Linked DNA regions of Caenorhabditis elegans. The protein of the gene in region 1 purifies or fractionates together with the protein of each later gene. This does not show direct contact. Each region holds a gene or a part of one and is shown in the gene's direction. Other genes may lie near its edges.

The links.
Region 2: the proteins of wago-4 (region 1) and C05D9.3 fractionate together in Caenorhabditis elegans (co-fractionation; one large-scale study listed by BioGRID). This does not show direct contact.

What each region holds. Positions count from the first base shown.
Region 1 is NC_003280.10:12,917,814-12,921,819, forward strand, and holds the start of wago-4 (Argonaute protein wago-4), read left to right. Parts: upstream 1-1,737; 5' UTR 1,738-1,763; coding exon 1,764-1,919; intron 1,920-1,971; coding exon 1,972-2,162; intron 2,163-2,207; coding exon 2,208-2,376; intron 2,377-2,420; coding exon 2,421-2,826; intron 2,827-2,872; coding exon 2,873-3,599; intron 3,600-3,644; coding exon 3,645-3,820; intron 3,821-3,866; coding exon 3,867-4,006. Other genes in the region: F58G1.2 (C2H2-type domain-containing protein), read right to left, coding at 1-8, 596-964, 1,131-1,167. UniProt on the Caenorhabditis elegans protein: Argonaute protein which is involved in the endogenous small interfering RNA (endo-siRNA) pathway and is required for RNA-mediated gene silencing (RNAi) in the germline.
Region 2 is NC_003284.9:1,109,954-1,113,959, forward strand, and holds the start of C05D9.3 (Integrin beta epidermal growth factor-like domain-containing protein), read left to right. Parts: upstream 1-1,962; coding exon 1,963-2,109; intron 2,110-2,769; coding exon 2,770-2,877; intron 2,878-2,995; coding exon 2,996-3,080; intron 3,081-3,140; coding exon 3,141-3,282; intron 3,283-3,327; coding exon 3,328-3,391; intron 3,392-4,006. Other genes in the region: C05D9.4 (uncharacterized protein), read left to right, coding at 8-157.

The sequences.
Region 1 (4,006 bases):
TTGCTGCTCTGAAAATTATAAATTTTCTTTTTTTCCAAATATTGGTTCAAAATTGGACTCAAAATTGCCTAAAAATACCGAATTTCATGATGAAACTTCTTGAAAACTTCTCAAAAAAAAGTTATGACGGCTCAAAAACTGGCCTAAAATTAGTTAAAATTTGAAATTTGACTTGTCAGCGCTGCCAGCTGGAAACTAATATTTTTGAAATCACCGTCAAATTTTGAGTATTTTATGTAATTATCTTTCGTTTTTAACTCTGATTTAGGTATTTTAAAGTCGATGAACGGCGAGATTTTTAAATTTTTTTAAACCAAATCTCGCGGTCCATCGACTTTAAAATACCGAAATCGTGTTGAAAACGCAAGATAATTACATTTTATACCCAAAATTTGACGGTGATTTCAAAAACAAAAATTGTTTCCAGCTGACAGCGCTGACAAGTAAAATTTTAAGTTTTAACTACTTTTAGGCCATTTTTTGAGCCGTCATAACTTGTTTTTGGGAAGTTTTCAAGTTTCATTATATAAATCGGTGTTTTCAGACAATTTCGAGTCTACTCCACCTTTAAATGACAAATTTCTGAAATCCTTACTTTGTCGAACTATACACTTGTCAAGTTCGGCAGATGGATCGATGAAATTCAGTGCAGCTCGGTTTTCGCGAAGCTTTTTGATTGGTCTTCCATCCCCGCCGAGAATGATTCGTTCTTTATGAATTTTCGGCGGATTTCTGAGGCTCGCAAGAAGCTCGCCGACTCCGGTGAGCTTTTTTCGTGGGCAACACACGTCATTTCTTCCAGAATCGTTGGCTTCAGCTACTGTTTCCTTTTTCATGCATTCTTGAAGGAAGTGCTCTTGAATACGACGAATCTGTTGAGCATCCTGAGCGTTGAATGATGCAATAATCTGCTGTTCCTTTTCGTCTTGGCAATCCCTATGTTCCGCATGATCATCTTCCGAGACTGCATCTATCAAGAAATCATTAGAAGAGAATAATACAAGAGAAATAAATATCAAATAGTGATAATAACTAGGTTTCTTGGAACCAAATATAGAAATCAAGTTAACAAAATTTCGTTATTTTTGTTTTTTTATTAGGTTAACAATAGAAAAAAATATAATGATTACGTGAATCTTCACGATCGACAATCTCCGGCGCCTTCATTGTTTCTCGTTGCTTGTCCTGATTGTTCCTGTAATTAATTGCATTATTGAAGGAAATTTTAAGATTTCAAATAACGAAATTGAACACGGGTCTGGAAAAATAGAGGCGAAACGAAGAAATATGAACATTTCGAAATAATGCAACAATCTCATGTGACTCCTGATGAAGAGGGTATTTGAAGTGCAAAATAGAGCGCAAGTGCACTTTTTTAATTTTTCTCTTAAAAATAGCTATTTTTGTTTAATTCTAGAGTTTTAATTATAAAAAGAAAAGCAAAATTCAATAAAGGTTCTCTTCGAAAAAATAAATTGTTCGGGTGGATTTACGGTAAACAAGGCGCATTGCGTTAAGGCGGAGTGTCGTTGTGCTCGGGTCTCGCAGCGAAAGTCACCTACAGTAACCCAGAATTTTAGGATGACCGCGATTTTCAATTTCGTTTTTTCTTTTCGCGTTTTTTCGCGGAAATGTTTGTTTTTGATGCTCGTTTTGTGTTTTTGTGTTGTATTTTTGTTGCTTTTTTCGCATTTTTCTATACGTTAAGTCTTATTTCGTCTTGAATTTTAAATTTACAGGTAATAGTTACAAAATCGAGAAGGATGCCAGCTCTTCCTCCAGTCTACACGCCTTCTGGAGCTCCATCGAGCGTCCACGCACCACCTGCCGTTCCACCAGTTCCAGTTCCGACTCAACCGTTAAGATCGGAGTATCAAACGTCTAACGACGCTTGCATCAAGAGACTGGAAGAGCTTAATGTACGTTTAGTTTAATTGATTTTTTTTTCAAACCTAATTTGTTAAATTTCAGATTGCTCCTGCTGCAAAGCTCTATCCAACACCTACTGAACCAGGAAAGTGTGGCGTCGAGGCCGAAATACAGACCAACGTATTCGGAATCGAGATGCACCAGGATTCGTTGTTCTATCAGTACAGCGTGAACATCACGACGGAGCTGAAAAACGGGAAAGAAGTTACCTTCACTAAGAAGGGGAAGGATGAGTGAGTTTACCACATGATTTATATTTTTCTCATAATATGTTCCAGCTTCGTCGTTACTGAGAGACACGACAAGTGCTGTGCGATTCTGTTCCGCGCGCTGGGTGACTATGAGGAGTTCTTCAAAACGTCTGATAGCTGCCTCATCTACGATGGTCAAAGCATTCTGTTCTCAAACGTGGATCTTTTCCAAGGGTTCAGAGAAGGCGCAGTAAAGGTAAATAAATTAAATCTCGGCCAATGTTATTCCGAATATTTCAGACCAAGTACATGCAGCTTGATGGCGGAGAAATGGATCATAAGGATCTCAAATCGTTGCCGTGTATTAAGCTGGAGGTGTTCCCGACTAAAAACCCAGCGGTCAAGTTCACACGAGAAGCCGTAGCAAGACGAGCAACGGACTCAAACCTCGATTCTGTCAGCTTGGCTTACCAACAGATCCTGGAACTCGCTCTCACTCAACCATGTCTTCGCAACACTGCGAGATACGTTGTTTTCGATCATGGAAAAATGTTTTTCATTGATCCACTCGGTGAAGGATTCGAGAAATGCGACGTTGTGGACGTTGGGGATGGGAAGCAAGTTGTACCAGGACTCAAGAAGACGATCAACTTCATCGAAGGACCCTACGGCAGAGGACGGAGTAATCCATCAGTTGTCATTGACGGTTGGTATTCAAAATAGTAATATCATAGTTATTTCTTGTTTTTCAGGGATGAAGGTCGCTTTCCATAAGAATCAGCCAATTCTCGACAAACTGAAGGAGATAACTACGCAGCCTGTGGAACACGGCCTGAAGGGACTCGAAAAGGACCGCTGCGCAGCCGTCATCAAAGGGCTCGACTGCTATTCTACATATGGCGGTCGTGAACGTCATCACAAGATCGAGGGAATCCATCACGAAGGGGCTCGAAATGCTCGTTTCGAGCTCAACGACGGTGGAAGCTGCACTGTAGCTCAATATTTCGAAGACGTATACAACATCACTCTTCGCTATCCAGACACAAATCTCATCGTTTCCAAGGAGAGAGGAAATATAAACTTCTACCCGATGGAATTGTTGAAGATCAGCTCTCATCAACGCGTTCAGATCCCGCAGCTAACCAGTGCCCAGAGTCAGAAGACAACGAAGGAAAGTGCTGTTTTACCTGACGTTCGCCAGCGTCTGATCTTGACGGGAAAAAATGCGGCGCAAATCTCATCGGACAACGAGGTTCTCGGTAAAATGGGCGTCTCGGTGTGCGAAGATCCGCTCATGGTCAAAGGACGCTCAATTCCTGCGGTGAAGTTGGCAAACGCTGAAATTGGAGCCAATCCAATCAATGTCAAGGACAACAAGTGGCGTGCCAACCGCTTCACTCGACCAGCCACGGCGCCGAATGTGTGGGCGATGTATGTTGTCGGTACCGCATCAACTCGCATAACTTTGGATACTCTGAAGTAAGACTGGCAATATAGTTTCATATCTCATTTTTTTCGTTTCAGGAAATTCGCAGATGAGTTCGCGGCTATGTGCAAGTCAAAAGGTGTCAACATGCCTGCTCCTGCTGACATTTCGCTCATCCATATGGATGCCATCGAGAGTCGTCTGTACGACGCAACGAAAGCCAATTGCACATTCGTTTTCATCATAACGGATGATTCAATCACTACACTCCATCGTATGTTACATTGTTTATTATATTTGTCCATATTTCCGTCTTTCAGAGCGTTACAAAATGATTGAGAAGGATACGAAGATGATCGTTCAAGACATGAAGCTATCCAAGGCGTTGAGTGTTATCAATGCAGGAAAGAGGCTAACTCTCGAGAACGTGATCAACAAGACCAATGTGAAGTTGGGAGGT
Region 2 (4,006 bases), on another chromosome or scaffold:
TTTTCAGAAATCTTCGAAATCTCTGAACCAAGTTCATATCAACCTGGCAAAGCGAAAACAGTGGAAACGAAACAAGGCGTGGTGTACTCATTGTGAGTCATACTGGAAGATGAAGATTAATTCGAAACAGTTGAAGTCTAGATACCCGTGCTGTTGAATTATTTTGAAATATTTTTTTATTTTAAATAAATGCCTATTTTCCGCGTGAAATTATAATTTTTACTGCAAAACGACAACCTGTGCTCATTTCTTGGATTTATACTGAAAATTTGAGTTTCAGGTTGTGCTTGAACTTTGTAGATTTTATCAACATTTAAACATCCAAACTTCTGGAAAGCCCAGTTGGTCAGTTTTATTGGCGTTTTAATTACTGTAAATTGATACTTGATAGATGCGCAGACAATTCAACTATAAAAATATTTCGAAGACATTTCTCACAAGTTTCTTACAAGTACACCAATTTGTAAATGTAGTTGTCTTCAGGAAACCCCATCAAATCCAGGATACACATATAATTTGCTCTCCGAGCACTGACCTTTTCTCCCGATAACTATACAACTTGCTCCTCCCCCTTGCAAACTCTCAGAAGTTGCCCGCCGCGGTGCAAAAAAAACAACAACAACCTTCGATATAATATCAATTCTCTCCTCTTCTCGCACATTTTATAATCCGCCGAAACTCGGAAACACACAGTTTTTATGAGTAGTGGGGGGATTTGGGACTTTAGGTCACATAACAGCTGCTCTTTTATACACATTCCGATGCTCTTTTTTCGAAGGAACTGACTTTTTTTTGGCGAATGAAATTTGTATCAAAACATTTGATATAGTGAAGATACTAAACATTTTTTGAAGTTTCAAAGTTCCGTCTTCAAAACAAAAAACAAAGCAAAAAAAAAGTTCAGTTGGTTTTGGGTGTGCACCTAGTCTCAACGCCATATGACAGAATGTAGCGTCTGCTGCTGCTGGCAGTTACGGCTCTGGCACGCCAGATGCCTACGCCTGTTGTGTTTCATCTCATACCTCTGTACTCGAGGTTTTACCCCCCTCCTACCCCCACTGTTTATTACTTTGCTCGACATGTGCTGTTCTCAAGTTATTTGGCATCCCTTAGCATAACCCACCTCCTCACGAACTTTTTTTTTACTTTTTTTTTCCCCATTTAGTTAACTTTATTGTTTAGTTTTTTCAAAAGTTGTTATCTGATTTTTCATGTTTTTCACTTCATTCCTTTATTCCGTTTAAAAATTCTAGCTTGTGAAATTTTCATGATTCCACCTAACACCTCAAAACGTATACCAACTCGTTGAATTCTTAATTTTCATATTTAACTCCAAATTGAAAGAGTTTTCTCACTTCCAGAAATTGCTAAAAATCTCAGTTCCATATTGATTTTACGCGATTTCTAGAATTAGAGCAACTTTCTGAATACAACTTTCATAACTTTCGTTATCCTTTTTTTAGAGGCTTAAACCTATTTTAACGTTATAATGTAACTGTTTAGTTTGTAAATAATGTCTACGTAAATTTATAATTTGTATTTTTTGTTGTCTGGTTTTGAAATATCAAACCCCAAATGTTAGATTTGAGAAAGCCCGTTTAATTTTGAATTTTTCTATTGTGAGTACTTTTTCAGTTCTTTAATTTTTCATTTGAATCCCCAAAAAACTCAATTACTGGGCTTGAATTCATCTAGAATCTCCACATTTTTTCGAAAACACCGTAATTTTCTGGTAAAGTTGACCCAATTTCGATAACTTTTTTTCAGATGAAAATGAAAATTGAGCCAAAAAAAAACCCTACTACTCCCGCCCTTTCTATATTGCTCTGAAACCGAGAACATTCTGGAAATCTGGTTAATTTTACAGTCCCAAATTTAATTTTTTTACTTCAAAAACCATGTTATTTTTAATATGCACAATTTCAAGTCCACCATCTCTTTTTTTTCAGAAATCATCACAAAATGAAGTCCCGGATTTTTTTTATAACATTACTGACAATAGTTGCCGCTCAAGAATCCGCAGATCAGTTATGCAGTAGTTTCGATGCCCAGCAGAGCTGTGGACAGTGTATCAAAGCACATGCAGAGTGTGCATGGTGTATTGATCCCGTATGTTTACTTTAAAGTGCAGGGGTTTTGAGAGGGGGTACTAAAAAGTTGGACGTCTTAGATTTCTGACCTTTTTGTAAAATTTGATATCTAGCTAGTTACTTTGAGTTAGTTCAAAAGATTTTCCAACTAAAGAATTATTTAAAATCGTTTTCTATTTGTATAGTTCATTCCTTTTAACTGCAAATTTTCAAAAATTTTAAAACTGGGTTTAAATTTAAATTTAAATTTTATTTTTATTAATTTTAAATTTTAATTTTAAAGCGCCACTCTACATGCACCTGAAAAATTGTAGAATATCACATTACAAATGTTATCTTAGTTTGTAATTATTTGGAAAAAACCGAAGAATTAAATTATAGGTGCTTTATGATGCTTTATGATGCTTACAATAATCGTGCAGTTACAAATTCAGAAAAATTATAAGTGCATATGCACGTGGTGTCAGGCTGTCCTATTATGGTTTGATCTACAAAACAAGCGGGAATTTTTTGTCAAAACAACTGTTACGTCAGCAAGCTCTTAGCCATGCGAAATCAGTTGAGAAGTCTGCGTCTTTTCTCTTGCATTTTTTGTAGATCTATGTAGATCAAACCAAAATGGGACACTCTGACACCACGTGCATATGTGAATACTTTTGTTTCGCAAAAAAACTTTCAGCACTCTTCCCTTACAAACCGATGCCAGCTGAAATCCAAGTTTACCAATGAGACATGCACGCCGCACTTGGTGTATTCTCCACAAACCGCTCAGGTCAAAATTCAACAAGTAAGTGTTACAGTGGTATAGATCCTCGCTGTTTAACCTTTAAAATGTTACAATTTTTGAAAGTAAAACAGCGAGGAGGCATACCCATTGGAGCCTAATTTTCCAACTTTTTCTCCAGAACTTACCACTTGAAACCAAACAGCATGATGGTAAAACCATTGTTCGACAACAGCCACAAGCGGTTTCCGTCCGTCTAATGCCATGTAAGACTTGCGTTTTATTTTTTAAATACGTAACATTTTCGATAATTTGCAACTTTGTAGCTCACTCCGCCACCGTTTCTTTCAAGTACCTGCATCAAACTGACCCAAGCAGACGGAGCACCGAACCCGAGACTATGGAAATTCAGACTTCTGATGTTAAAGATACTCCACTGCAATTGAAATTTTTCATTGTCTGTGATGGGTAGGTGAAGATTTCGAAAAACAATTTTTATAGGAATCATTTCAGAGAGTTGAAGGAGACCAAGTCGTGCCGTGTGCAGAATAATCAAATCGTTGAATTTAAGATTGAAGTGAGTCTTTTTTTGTTGAAAATTTTGTTTGATCTCCAAAACTGGCAAAAAAAAGTTGTGGATTGCTCGTCACTGATATGGAATCTGCCTCGATTTTTCGAAAACATAAATTTCTCCTAAAAATTGAATTTTTTATCAAAATCTGAAGGCAGTGACCTAGGCAGGTGCCTCTTTTTGAATTATTGGTCGTATGTTTTCAATTTTGATGGTAAACTTGTGAAAAAATGGGGACAGCGGTTTTTTGACATGCTAAATCCGAATATAAGGTTCTATGGTAATCATTTAGTTTTCCAATATTACCAAATTTGAGAGGGGTTACCATAGCTGCAAGGCAAATTAAATTTAACAAAGGGTCGCCCATCACTTGGTTTTTCAAATTTTAATTTTAAAAAGCCCCGCACGTGTTTTCAGCTTGACCATTCGGTGTTATTTGTGCAAACACCGTCACGCGCAAATGTAGACATTTTTGCACGTGCGGTTGTGAAATTCCTCTTGGCGAATTCAAATATTTTTCCCGCCTTTTTTGAAAATTTTCGAGGCGTTGGTCTAGCTGAATAAACGTGTCCTGTGAAACACAATAAAAAAGGGCATACCTTATAGACACACCCCTAGTAA